Linked DNA regions of Rattus norvegicus. The protein of the gene in region 1 purifies or fractionates together with the protein of each later gene. This does not show direct contact. Links are inferred from orthologs where the notes say so. Each region holds a gene or a part of one and is shown in the gene's direction. Other genes may lie near its edges.

Region 1 (6,218 bases):
GAGACTTGGAGCTAGTAGGGCCACTAGGGACCCATGATCCCCAGTAGGGGGACTGGGGAAGCCATCAAGACTGGGAGGATCGTGGCCTCAATGTCACACTGTGTGCCCCCAGGTCTACCTCCATGCAATCGTGCGGGACGCTCATGGCCGGAAGATGAGCAAGTCTCTCGGCAATGTCATCGACCCCCTGGATGTCATCCATGGAGTTTCCTTGCAGGTAGGGCACTCAGTGGGTCAGTTAGGAACAACTTTGCAGCTATGGCTGAAACAACCTGATGCCTCCCATCTCCTCCTTAGGGCCTCCATGACCAACTACTGAACAGCAACCTGGATCCCAGTGAGGTGGAGAAAGCCAAAGAAGGACAGGTGTGGGGTGGGCTGCAGCGGGTGGGCAGGTGTGGGGTGGGCTGCAGCGGGTGGGCAGGTGTGGGGTGGGCTGCAGCGGGTGGGCAGCAGCGGGTGGGCAGATGTGGAGTGGGCTGCAGCGGGTGGGCAGGTGTGGGGTGGGCTGCAGCGGGTGGGCAACCTGACCCCCCTATTCCCTCTGTGTCCTCTGTAGAGGGCCGACTTTCCAGCAGGGATTCCCGAGTGTGGCACTGATGCCCTACGCTTTGGACTCTGTGCCTACACATCCCAAGGTATGGTCTCCCATCCTCCCCCAGTTGCCTGTTTTCTTCCTTGAAACCTGTGCTCCTCCACCTTGGGCCTGCAGAGGACCTCTCTGAGAGAGAGAATGGGGTGGAGTCAGATTCATCCCTCCCCTAGGTCGAGACATTAACCTGGATGTGAACAGGATCCTGGGGTACCGTCACTTCTGCAACAAACTCTGGAATGCCACCAAGTTTGCTTTGCGCGGCCTTGGGAAGGGCTTTGTACCCTCACCAACCTCCAAGGTGAAGTTCTGGTTGGCGGCCATCTATGACAGCACGCATGCCCACACAGCGTCAGGCGTGGTCCTAGTGCGCCAAGACTGAAGCCGCTGCAGCCCCGCCCCCCTTGCAGTCTGGGGATAGCCGGGTGGCTCCCTGCCCTGGTAGTGTGCTGGCTGACATTGCTCTTCCCTGCAGCCGGAAGGGCACGAGAGCCTGGTGGACCGCTGGATCCGCAGCCGGCTGGCGGAGGCCGTGAGGCTCAGCAATGAAGGCTTCCAGGCTTATGATTTCCCAGCCGTCACCACTGCCCAGTACAGCTTTTGGCTCTATGAGCTCTGTGATGTCTACTTGGTGAGCACTGGGACGGGGCCTAGGCCTGTGCAGCTCTGACCTCAGGCTCGCCCTGAGACTTGAGTTCACCTTTTGTTTTCAGTTCTCATGGGGAGGGGGCTCCAGGTGGAACCTGGCCCTGAGCCTTCTGCCTCCCCGTCTCTAGGAGTGCCTAAAACCCGTTCTGAACGGAGTGGACCAGGTAGCAGCAGACTGTGCTCGGCAAACCCTCTACACCTGCCTGGATGTCGGCCTGCGGCTGCTCTCACCCTTCATGCCCTTTGTCACAGAGGAGCTATTCCAGAGGCTGCCTCGGCGGACACCAAACGCTCCTGCTAGCCTCTGTGTCACCCCCTACCCAGAGCCCTCAGAGGTATGAGGTGTGGCCTAGAGGGCACGGCTGCCCTCCCTTTCCCCCACTCTGCCTCGCAGTGCTCCCCCTCCCCACTCTGCCTCATAGCGCTCCCCACTCTGCCTCACAGTGCTCCCCACTCTGCCTCACAGTGCTCCCCACTCTGCCTCACAGTGCTCCCCACTCTGCCTCACAGTGCTCCCCACTCTGCCTCACAGTGCTTCCCCCTCCCCCACTCTGCCTCAGTACTCCCCACTCTGCCTCAAGTGCTCCCCCTCCCCACTCTGCCTCGCAGTGCTCCCCACTCTGCCTCACAGTGCTCCCCACTCTGCCTCACAGTGCTCCCCACTCTGCCCCACAGTGCTCTCCACTCTGCCTCGCAGTGCTCTCCACTCTGCCCCGCAGTGCTCTCCACTCTGCCCCACAGTGCTCCCCACTCTACCTCACAGTGCTCCCCACTCTGCCTCACAGTGCTCCTGGAAGGACCCTGAAGCCGAAGCTGCTCTTGAGCTAGCGCTGAGCATCACTAGAGCTGTGCGCTCCCTGCGTGCAGACTACAACCTGACCCGGACCAGGCCCGACTGTAAGCCTCAGGCCCCGTGTCCGTCCACCTATCTTGTCCCCCTGTCCTCCAAGGCCCCTTAGGGAACCCAGGGTCTGGCTGTATCCAGGCTTCACTTTTCTCCCTCCTCACTCTGCAGGTTTCTTGGAAGTAGCTGATGAGGCTACGGGTGCCTTGGCCTCGGCAGTGTCGGCCTACGTGCAGACTCTGGCCAGTGCGGGTGTGGTGGCCGTCCTGGCCCTGGGTGCTCCCGCACCACAGGGCTGCGCTGTGGCTGTGGCCTCAGACCGCTGCTCCATCCACCTGCAGCTGCAGGGGCTCGTGGACCCAGCCCGGGAGCTGGGCAAGCTGCAGGCCAAGCGGAGTGAGGCACAGCGACAGGCTCAGCGGCTGCAGGAGCGCCGTGCTGCCTCTGGCTACTCAGCAAAGGTGCCCCTTGAGGTCCAGGAGGCCGACGAAGTGAAGGTGTGTGGTGGGGTTGTCCCAGCATCAGCTGCGTCTGTCGTGCCCTGGTCTCAGCAAGCCCAGCTGCTAGGACCCTGGAGCCCCTGTGGCAGTGGGACCCTAAGTATAGTGCCTGCTCCCGCTTAGGCTCACCCAGAAAGTCAGTTTGTCTCCTGGCGTGGGGTTCCCGAAGGCCCTTGCCCCCCTAGGGTCTGCCAAGGAGGCCCAGTGCTTGGAAGCACTGGCGACACTGAGTGTTCGTTCCCAGGCCCTCTGAGTGAGGGTAGCGTGTGGCCAGGCAGCCTTGGGCTCCTCATAGGTGGGGTCCCTCAGGATTGTGTGTGCGCTCCAAGGCCTTTGTCACTGGGCACTCAGGAAAAGGAGCACTTCAGAGGAGGGTCTTGACGGAGGCGTGGGGTGTGCTGCCTCACTACCCTGACTTCCCGGTCCTCACCCATCTCACCAACCTGGGCTCCTCTACTCTCTGGTGTTTGGTCTCCTTGGGCATGGGTCATCACCATAACCCCTTTTGCACCCCCAGTTACAACAGACAGAGGCGGAGCTCAGGAAGGTGGATGAGGCCATCGCCCTGTTTCAGAAGATGCTGTGACACCCCCAGTTCCAACCCCCAGTGTTCCACCAAACAGGGATGGCAGCAATAAAATATTTTGCCAACATTTTCTCTTGTCTGTGTGGTGTGGGCAGGGCAAGGGCATGCAGAGCCTGGCCTGGGAGTTCCTGGGAGCAGCAGGAGTGTGTCAGCTCCAGCCAGGCCCTGGGTCCTGGTGGGCAGAGGGATGCGTCTGTCTGGGTCTGTCTCTGGCATGGTGCCAGGCCTGAGTCATGCTGTTCTGCCGCCAGCTCCCTTCCTCCCCGCTCACCTCACTGCACTGCGCTGTGGCTACAGAGCCCGCCCTGGCCCCGCCCTGGCTTTCGCTACATCGTGTGGCCCTGGGTTGGCATGAATGGAAGAGGGCCAGGGGCTGCCTGTCCTCAACCCCTTGCTAAGAGCCTCCCTCTCATGCTACTGAGGCCCAGTTAATTATAGCTCTGACCTAAGTGCCCTGTGACGCCACACCCGGGCCAGCACTGCCCAGGAGACCCAGCAACCAGGTAGGAGAGGCCTGAGGAGACTTCCTATCCGTGGGGCAGGGCCGGGGCTCAGCCTGGTGTAGGAGAAGAACCTTGAGGATCCTCCTGTGCTCTGAGGGCAGGTGTGCGCTCTGTTGGCCTCACAGGCCCGTGGATTGTGTGGGTTGCAGGTTCAGGGTGGGGAGCCAGGCTGGTTTAGATGGGGCACCTGAAGCAAGGCAGGAAGTGGGCACCAGGTGCCGGGGAGACAGCAAGACCTGCCCTGGAATTGGTGGCTTCCTTTCCCCGCGAGGTGCTTCTGTTCCCTAGGTCCATGTTTCAGCCATGCTCCCTGTGGAGGTCCCCCTGTCCCAGCTGGGCCCCCCAGTACTGCTGCTCCAGCTGCTGTTGCCCCCAACATCTGCCTTCTTTCCCAACATCTGGAGCCTTCTGGCTGCCCCTGGCTCCATCACTCACCAAGACCTGACTGAAGAGGCTGCACTCAATGTCACCCTTGAGCTCTTTCTGGAACAGCCACCCCCAGGCCGACCGCACCTCCATCTAGAGGACTACAGGGTGAGCAACCCTGTGTCCTCTCTCACCCTTAGGTTTTACAGTTCCCCAGGGTTTCTCAGAGGGCCCTTGTCAAGAGGAGGCTCACCTTTGACCTGCTCATTTCCACACTCCTCCCTCTGCAATTCTGGTCCTGAAATTCTGAGTCTCTCCCCCCCCCCCCCCAGTCTTGGAAAAGTCTGTACCAAGGGGGATGTGGTGGCATACACGGGTAACCCCGGCACTTGATTAAGGAGATCTGTGGTTGGTTTAAGGCCAGCGTGGGCTACACAGTGCCAGGTCAGCCAGTCCAAATCTGCTGCTCCCTCGTGGGACCCTTCACCCTCTATTCCTACCCAGCCTTGAGTGCCAGTTGCTAAGGCACCTCAGGGAGTGGTAGAACCCAAGCGGCCTCTGGAGTCTCTTTCCCTAACCACCCTTGGCCAGGGCCGGACCCTCCTCGCCGATGATATCTTTGCTGCCTACTTTGGATCAGGGTTTTCTTCCCGGAGGTTCAGAGCGGCTTTAGGAGAGGTGTCTCGTGCCAATGCAGCCCAAGACTTCCTGCCAGCTTCCAAGAGCAACCCCGACCTGCACTTCGATGCTGAACGGCTGGTCCAGGGGCGCACTCGCCTGGAGGGGGCCCTTCGGGAAACCCTGGTGGCCGCCAGAGCACTAGAGTATACACTGGCCCGACAGCGTCTCGGGGCTGCACTCCATGCCCTGCAGGTGACTCTCTGAGCTTTTAACCTGCCTCCCCCTCCTCCAGGAGGATGGAGCGCACCCCTCCTAAGCTGGCACTTCCTCTGTCCTGCCGGAGTGACTACAAAGGGGAGACAGACCGAGAAGAAGACCAGGAGGTGGGGGTGTTAGTTTAATCCTAGGGATCTCCCTAGAAAGTCTGTGGCTTAGACTCCAAGACAGAAAGGCTGGTGTGCGTCCGTTTGAGCAAAGCTCTTTTCTAGACCAGGCGAGCAGGAGAAGCAGGGGGGACACACTTTTCTGGGTGGGGACACCAGCTCAGGGTGTGTGGGCTGCAGGGCAGGGTGTTGGGCTCTGGGTGACATATCAAGATGTTGGCCCTGACTAGATCATATCCGTCCTTGTTCCCCCTTCGTTCTCTCCTGGGGACCAGGATTTCTATAGCCACAGCAACTGGGTAGAGCTGGGGGAGCGGCAGCCACACCCTCACCTCCTCTGGCCAAGGCGGGAACTCTGGAGCCTGGCCCAAGGTATGGCCTTGATCCAGTCTAGAGGTGGGAGCTCAGGGAGCCTCCTGTCCTCATGCACCCATTACCTTGTGGAGTCTCAGGATGGGGTGGTGCTTTATCCCCGCAAGGGTTGAGCTTCCTCAGTCTAGCTAATGGCTACACAGGTTCTGTGGCTTTCTCGGCCAGACACAGGGAAGCATCCAGGACCAGCTCAGACCTCAGAGTGGTCTTGCACGTGGCCTTTTCCACCCACCCATGCCAGCCTTATGGCTTTCTCCCGAAGCTCCATCTCACTGGGAGCTGCATTCTGTCCACTATACAATCATGGCCTGCCTGTGTTTCACAGGGAGCAGAATCCCCAAAGGATTGGTACCCACACTGTGGATTGTGCACATCGGGCCCCAGTCTCAGATGTCCAAATGCTGACCCTGAGGTTTAGTGCAGGAAAACCTGGCCAAGGTGTCTGTGGCCTTTTCTGTCTTTCCAGCTGAGAGGAAGATGTTAGGGATTAATCCGGCAGGCTGAGGCTCAGATTTCAGCCCCTGCCCTCTGTTCCCAGTGGGCGATCCTACCTGCTCTGACTGCGAGGGGCTGAGCTGCCCTGGGAACATGATGAACTTGACAATGCTCACCTCTGGCTACTTCGGAACGAATCCCCCCAAACCTCCAGGTACCTGATATGAAAGCTCCCAGAAGGAAGTCACTTTCTTTGACTTTAACACAGGGTCCTGGTTGTATCCCCGTAGGAGAGGGTGGTATAATAAACAGAACGGGTGGATGAAGGCTGAGGTACAGAGAGAGAGACTCTAATGACTCTAGATGTA
Region 2 (7,929 bases), on another chromosome or scaffold:
AGGGGGGGGGGAGAGTATGTGTGTGTGCGAGAGAGAGAGAGAGAGAGAGAGAGAGAGAGAGAGAGAGAGAGAGAAGAGAGGGAGAGAGAGGGAGAGAGAGGGAGAGAGAGAGAATAAATTATTTTAAAGTTTTTTTTTAAATCGAAAGTAAAGTGAAGGATGGAAATGTGGCTCAGTGGTACCAAGTGTGAGACAGCTCTAGGTTCAATAACCAAGACTAAAAAATAATTTAAATGAAAGGCCAGAGAGATAACTCAGAGGTTAGCATTGTCATCCATCACTGAAGGAAGTGAGGGCTAGAAGGAAGCAGTTTCTTAATTGAGGTTCCCTCCTCTCAGATGATGTTAGCTTGTGTCAAATAGACATAAAACTATGCAGCACAGTCTCTAAAATCCTTTTCTACAAATTTCTGGGATTACAGATATGTTGTTTTTCTGTTTGTTTTTACCTTTTAAAGATAGTAAAAAAAAAAAGTGATGAGTATATCAACATTAAAAAAACAGTAAAAATGTTTCTCAACAGCAGTAGCAGTACTAATAGAAAATAGTTCAAAAAACAGATTTTTTTCCTTTTTAATAATTAAAAAAAGTGTTTGTTATGTGTTTTGTCTGCATGTATGTCTATTCACCTCAAGGAGGCCAGGAGAGGTTATCAGATCCCTTGGAATTGGAGATACAGACAGCTGCTGAGCTGCCCTGTAATTTTAGGGAATCAGATCTAAAAGAACAGTCTTAACCACCCAGTCATCTTTCCAGTCCCAAAGGTATAGCCTAGGCAGGTCTTGAATTCATGATCCTCCTGTCTATACTTCTTGAACATACGCTGGCATGTGCTACTACAACTGGCTTTTAGCTGTGTAGAGACCAGGCTGGCCTGAAACACACAGAGATTCACCTACAGGCCTCTGCCTCTTAAGTGCTGAAATTAAAAGCATGTACTACCACTTCAGATAAAACAGAATCCTAAACATTAAAGTCTGTAGTTATTATAGATGATATATAATTAAATATTTCATTAGCTTATAATTTAATTTATTTAATTAATTCTTTAAAAATGGAAATCTACAGTTTACAAACTGAATTTGCAGATACCGAGTCTGTTATCTACTAGGTATTGGTTCTTTACCTATAGAGCAAATCTACACTGTTTCTTAGGGTATTATTACTAGGTCAATAATAAAAACAAAGAAAAAAATTGCAGTAAAAACAGCAAGGCAATCAGTAATGGCTATTAACAATCAGTTGTACAGCGATCTTTGTTTGTGGCCCTTTTTCTTATTAAAAACACACCATGTATATATTTTATTATTCTACTTACTAGAGTTGGACAGAGCAGGTAGCTTTAATGCAGGACCACTTCCTTTAGGCTGCACTGGACTATATCCGTAGTACAAACAACAAACAAACCCACAGTACTAAACTGAAGGTGAATCATCAATATTGTTAGCTACTGGACTGTAAGTTCCTTGACAAAAAATTTGGCTATTTCTCTTTTCTGAAGACTAGCAAGTCCCCAAGTAGTTTTGCCACCAAATTCCAGAATGAGCAGTTATCTATCTCTGTTTTAAATGGTACTGATGAGGCTACGCACAGCAGTCTATGCCTGTGGTTGCAGCACTGGGGAGCCTAAAGCATGAGAATCAGGAGTCTGAGGCCAGTCTGAGCTATATACATGGGACCTCATCCCACAAAAACAGCCTGCACTGCATAAAGAGTCTGAGGATAACCTGGCTTATGCACTGTACAGGTTGTTTTGCTGTGGTTTTTTTACTTTGGTGGGTTTTGTTTTTTTTTTTTTTTAGATATATCTCATGTACCTCAGACTGGCCTCAAACTTGCTATGAAGTCAAGGATCAACTTGGACTCCTAAACTTCAGGCTTCCACTTCCCAAGCAAGGGGCAGAATTAGCAACATGTACCACCATGTTCAGCTTCGTATATGTTTTATTGTTGTTGTTGACATTCATTTACTTACTGGATGAAGGTTACCATATACACACAAGGGGGTGGGGCAGGCGCATGAGGAAGTCAAAGGCAACTTTTGAAAGTCAGTTCTCTCTTTCCATCAATGTGGGTCCTGGAGACCTAACTCATGGATGCCAGGCTTAGCAAGCATCGTTACCAACTAAGCTATCTCACCAGCATGCATTTCAGAATATGCATTTCAGACATGGTATCTATCAAATAGGAACAGTAGAGTCCTTACCTAAGCATGCACAAACTCCTCCATTCAATCCTGTCCCAGCCTCCCCCGTCTAGGATTACAGATAAGCACCACCACACCCTGGCATATCTCTACTATCTTGGCTGTAACTAATAAAAATAAAGGGCGTTGATGTTCTGGCTTAGAATAATAGATTCAAAGATGCAAAACTCAGTGGGGGCTGGGGAGGAGATTCCCAGAAATTTTTGTTTCATCTTAAGACATGAATCTTGAGAACACTGCAGCTTCCTGATTTGCAGTGGGACTCAGAGCTAACTTTTTAAGATTCACTTTTAATTTATGTGTGCATGTGCTTGTCTCTGTGTGGTTATGTGCATTTATAAGTGCCGGTGCTCACAGTCCAAAAGAGTGGCAAATTCCCTGTAACAAGGCAGTTGTCCCCCTTCTGACGGAGACAGTGGGAACCGAACTCGGATCTACTCTACAAGGCACTCTTAACCACTTGGCTATCTCTCCAACTCCGACTGAGCTTTTAGTTTTTGTCATTCTCCCCGTCAGTGGAATGAATAAAATACTACCCAACATCATCAATGAACTGGACAAAATAAACAGTAGTGTGGGCAGTTTCAAGATAGCAACTAAAGAGACGCCTAATGTTTAAGTCTTTCCTGACACTGGGAAATGACCCGGTCTCCTCCAGACAGGGCCATCTCCTGTCTTCCCCTGCAGAGAGAAAGTAGCTAGCAAGCCGGAACTCCCAAAGGTTTCCTGATCATCTTGCTTATGCTCCATCAGACCAGAAACTATGGCTAGTAACCTTCACCTGCCGGTTCTCCGGGGTTCTGGAGGTGGCGGGGCAGGAGGTGGTGCCCAGTCAAGGACAAGAGGAGAATGACTTGTTTGACCTAAAGAACACAGTCCTGCTAAGAAAGAAAACACCACTCGAAGCACTTCAACTTTCTCTCTTAAACGCGTCCTCACCTTTCCTCTAGAGCTCACCAAGTTGTCCCGCTGATTTGTCCGGATCCCCCTGACCCCTCAAAACCCAGCCGCTAAGTCAATATGGCGGCCACGGCTAACTCCGTCAGCCTGACCTGGCGGACGGAAAGCCAGGAGGGACAACAAAGCCAGATTCGACAATCTCCCCTCTTTGGACCTGTTCGGCAATTTCCGTCAGCACGAGAGGGAGCCGGGAGAAAGCGGAGAAGACAACTTGGACCTGCAGTTCCGCCGGAAGTAGCCGAGGCCTTGAGGCCGAATGCTTTCGTTCAACTCCGGCTCCTCAAGGGGCGTTTCCTTTAGTTTTAGAATCCTTGGAGGTAGGCGTTTTAAAATGCATCTTTTATTAATTTCCTTCCAAACACAAGGAAAAGCCCGCGGACGACCTGTGGGTCGTCTAATTCACAAGACGCAGTTTTACGTGAAGGAACGAGACTAGTAACGTACTTTGACCTTTAACCTCTAGCCGGTGCAGTGGAGGGAAACGCCTCCGTCTCTATATAAGGACTTTTCCGGCCGGTCCCGGCCCTTTTTCTCCCTCAGCGCTGGCCGCGGGCTTCTAGCGCTCTTTTCCTCCGCTCCCGGTTACAGTCGACGCCATGGGTTTCGGAGACCTGAAAACCCCCGCCGGCCTCCAGGTGCTCAACGATTACCTGGCGGACAAGAGCTACATTGAGGGGTGAGCCGGGAGCCCCGGGGGCCACGTGGCGCGGGCTCGGCGGGAGGGAAGCGGGTCGCCGGAAACTAGGGGAAGCCGAGTTAGGTCTCCCGAGTCTCGGATGCCACTGGAGCAGGACCTCCCTGGAGGGGCTGCCAGCGCAATAATTGAAATAATGCTTGCTCTCCGTGTAACTACGTTCAGCCGGTTCTTCCGCGTCCTCTGACTAGTTAATTTAAACCTGTGGCAAGCCCGAGGTAGCCTTTGAGTTCTCCCAAGTGGTAGAGAATTCTTGGCTTGTACAGATTGAAACATATTTTGTGCACTTCCGATTAGAAGCAATTTAGGTTAGCCCTGTAATAGTTCCCACTAGTAGTTAGTTTGGCGGGTATGGGCTGTGTCATTTACCAGTTAGGTGTTTGTGTCTTTTCTTTTAAAGGTGCGTGTACTTGTTTTTGTGTTACCTGCAGGTACGTGCCATCACAAGCCGATGTGGCAGTATTTGAAGCAATCTCTGGTCCACCACCCGCTGACCTGTGTCATGCTCTGCGTTGGTATAATCATATCAAATCTTACGAAAAAGAAAAGGCCAGGTAAAAGTATCATTGTGCTACCTGGATTTTCGCATGGCAAAGTAGGACCGGGGTTAAAGTTGCTTTAGCATTGTTGACCTAGTGTAAACCAAATTTCTTTGTGACCTTAAATTAAGGCCAACAGACTGAAGTTCTCCATTTTCTCACAGAACAGGTAGAACATGGACAGCTGCAGTTTACAATTTTCCCACACCTCATTAATGTGTTTTGACCTGGGGGAGGGGCACCACTGGGTTGTGAGGGTAGCTGATTTAATTCCTGGCCATTCTTCTAAAACTAAAGAATGGAAGTGGGGATATATAATGAATCTCATTCAGATGTTCATTTTGGAAGAGTAAACCATTGAGTACTGAATACTATGTCTCCTTTAAAGTCAGGTCATTTACCTGGGGTTGTGCTAAGGTTAAGTAACCAGAAGAGATTGTGAGTTACTGGAAAGGAAGATTGTGTGTTTTGCCCAGAAAGAGCTTTGACACCAACCTAATGTTGTAGAATGCTTGTTTTTCAAGCTTGCCGGGAGTGAAGAAATCTTTGGGCAAGTATGGCCCTGTCAGTGTGGCAGATACCACAGGAAGTGGAGCAGCAGATGCTAAAGACGATGATGACATTGATCTCTTCGGATCTGATGATGAGGAGGTATGCCTTTCTCTTTATACAAGTATATTGATAAGGCAGACAGTCTTTACAGCATGACTAACTGGTGCTGTAGCCACTGCCCGGACATGGATCCTGCCTTGGCTTTATTGTCTGCCTTTAAAAATTTATCACTGGGTACATGATGAATAAAATCGAATCACCATCTTTCGGCTGAGCTCCTGATGGATTTGCTTTTTTCTGATGTCCAGTCATTTTTGTGATGACCTTGTCACTACATTTAAGCAGAAGATAACCAACTTTGTGAAATGTTTTTTTCTCTGTACAGGAAAGTGAAGACGCAAAGAGGCTACGAGAAGAACGCCTTGCTCAGTATGAGTCAAAGAAAGCTAAAAGTGGGTAACTTACGGTTTATCTTCATTGTTAGTAATGTGAATGCCTTTGTCTAGTGCTTGGCCTTAAAGTGGGTTTTCCCCCAGTTAAATTGAATGGGTCAATATTTTATTTACATCTTCCACAGCTACTGGTCTGCAGCTGTCTTTATGGTAGCAGTTGTAGCATTCCTCTGTGGGAAAGAAACTGTTACACAATTTAATGCCTCTTTCTTAGCCACATAGAAAGAGGAATATGCGTGACAGACACAAGGCGAGTTGTGTACGTTTTTGGCAAGAAGGTGGCCTGTTTCAAAACAAACAGATTTGACTTAATGGTGAAAATGTTGAGTATTTAGGTGTCGTTCATTTTTTCACCTTTTTTAGAGCCTGCAGTTGTTGCGAAGTCTTCCATCTTGTTAGATGTGAAGCCTTGGGACGATGAGACAGACATGACGAAACTTGAGGAGTGTGTCCGAAGCATTCAAGCGGACGGCTTGGTGTGGGGCTCCTGTAAGTGATGCTTGTGTTTGGGGGTTGGAATTTGGGCATCTTCAGTTTTCCTATCACAAAGAGTTTCCTAACTTTTTTACCCCTTGATCTTTTTTAGCTAAATTGGTTCCAGTGGGATACGGAATTAAAAAGCTTCAAATACAGTGTGTAGTTGAAGATGATAAGGTTGGAACAGATATGCTGGAAGAGCAGATTACTGCTTTTGAGGACTATGTACAGTCCATGGATGTGGCTGCTTTTAACAAAATCTAAATCATCCTTAAGTCTGTGCACTTAAATAAAAGCTTGAAAGATAACCCTTGACTCTTCATTTGCTGTGAGAAATGATATACTTTGTTTTGAAGAAAAGGTGAAGTGGTGGGGACTTGGGCTAGAAAGAGAAATTTTGCTCAGCATTTCAAACCACTTGGGCCATGGTTATCCAGACCAACATGAAGTTGCCTTTTAGCCAACACTATCGTGTCATAGATATAACTAAAAAGAAGATAAAAAATGTGTTATTAAAAATTTAGCGGGGTTGGGGATTTAGCTCAGTGGTAGCTCAGTGGGCCTTAGCAAGCTCAAGGCCCTGGGTTCGGTCCTTAGCTCCGGGGGAAAAAAAATTAGCAATTAATTGTCACCCGATGTGTTCAATACCTTTTTGAAAAGCAGAATGAATCTTGGGCCACTAAGCTGACTCCGAGGGTGCTTACCATTTGGTTCAATCCCTAAAGATAGCGTTATGTCCTGAGAGGAACATTGTATAGGTTTATAAGGTGGTCAAGTGTGGAGGTCTTTCCATTGAATCTGGAAATCTGAACCTAGAGCTGCAGGAAAGTGCTGGGATAAGCAGTGTGCTAAAAGCTACTTGTTGGAAACATTTGTGGGAGATCATACTGCTCAAGAAGTACAGCATGGGGGGCTGGAGAGATGGCTCAGCGGTTATGAGCACTGACTGCTCTTCCAGAGGTCCTGAGTTCAAACCCCAGCAACCACATGGTGGCTCACAACCATCTGTAATGGGAGCCGATGCCCTCTTCTGACAGGCAGGTGTAGATAGACCACTCATATACATACATAAAACATCTTTAAAAAAAAAGTACATCACAGCATTTCAGCTTTGTGTTAAAAATTTGGTACATACAGTAACTAAATGTATTTACCATAATTTTTAAAGTTTGGGGTTTGTGTTCTGTGAGCCAGGTGGTGGTAGTGCACATTTTTAAACACAACACTCAGGAGGAAGAAAAATGCAGACTCGTGGGTTCAAGGCCAACCTGAGTTATAAAGTCCATGAGAGTTGTGTATACAAAGAAACATTGTCTTAAAAACAAAGTTTTCTGTATTTTATAGATAGGACTCTAGAAGAATAATTCAGTTACTTCAGTCAGACAGTACTCTTGCTCTCAGTCTGGTTTTATGTTGACTACCTTCAGTGAGGGAAGCTTCACGTTCATACATAGATTCAATAAAACATGTACTAAGGAGAATATACTTCAACAGACCCGTCCTAAAGTAGTAGAAATTTTTTCCAGGTTAGAATCATGAGGGCCAGCAGAGGGCAGTATTGTCAAAAGCCTGAAAGCAGAGAAAGGGTTAGAGCAGAACTGTTAGAGCCTGCTGCAGAGCATGTCAGAAGCATGAGAGCAGGCTGGGGGCCGTAGCAGAACCAAGAGAGCTGGCTGGGGCCCTGTCAGAGTCACGAGAGCCGGCAGAGGGCACCACTTGGTATTCTAGGGCTTCTGGAGAACAGACAAAGGTACATTTTATTCATCTTATTCTCGTGTCTCTGTAAACAAAAGAACAAGATAGAATTGTGCTGTCAGTGCATGCTCTCTGAAGAGCATCTATACCATCTGGAAACATGTTTATAGTAATCTACACACTTGTACTTAGCTAGAATTTTCCATAATCATGATGTTCTGGAGGACTAAGAATGAACACAAAATTGTAGACATATTTCATAAAGGGGCAAAGAGTCTGTCCCCTTCCTTTCGTTCTGAGCCAGCCTAGTCTTGCTTTGGCCAATTTGATATGGTGGAAACAATGCTGTGTGTAT

The links. Proteins that work in one complex are often made in the same cells at the same time.
Region 2: the proteins of Vars1 (region 1) and Eef1b2 fractionate together in Homo sapiens (co-fractionation; 3 studies listed by BioGRID, with this or other methods). This does not show direct contact. The link is inferred for Rattus norvegicus from reciprocal best matches to the Homo sapiens genes VARS1 and EEF1B2.

Annotation. Positions count from the first base shown.
Region 1 is NC_086038.1:3,807,446-3,813,663, reverse strand, and holds the end of Vars1 (valine--tRNA ligase), read left to right. Parts: intron 1-112; coding exon 113-217; intron 218-297; coding exon 298-366; intron 367-559; coding exon 560-638; intron 639-765; coding exon 766-893; intron 894-1,067; coding exon 1,068-1,223; intron 1,224-1,368; coding exon 1,369-1,575; intron 1,576-2,025; coding exon 2,026-2,137; intron 2,138-2,255; coding exon 2,256-2,581; intron 2,582-3,101; coding exon 3,102-3,170; 3' UTR 3,171-3,235; downstream 3,236-6,218. Other genes in the region: Vwa7 (von Willebrand factor A domain-containing protein 7), read left to right, coding at 3,977-4,207, 4,631-4,912, 5,319-5,415, 5,954-6,064. UniProt on the Homo sapiens protein: Catalyzes the attachment of valine to tRNA(Val).
Region 2 is NC_086027.1:72,070,405-72,078,333, forward strand, and holds Eef1b2 (elongation factor 1-beta), read left to right. Parts: upstream 1-3,686; 5' UTR 3,687-3,761; coding exon 3,762-3,841; intron 3,842-4,290; coding exon 4,291-4,413; intron 4,414-4,922; coding exon 4,923-5,049; intron 5,050-5,180; exon of another isoform or gene 5,181-5,258; intron 5,259-5,335; coding exon 5,336-5,402; intron 5,403-5,519; exon of another isoform or gene 5,520-5,651; intron 5,652-5,765; coding exon 5,766-5,891; intron 5,892-5,988; coding exon 5,989-6,143; 3' UTR 6,144-6,187; downstream 6,188-7,929. UniProt on the Homo sapiens protein: Catalytic subunit of the guanine nucleotide exchange factor (GEF) (eEF1B subcomplex) of the eukaryotic elongation factor 1 complex (eEF1).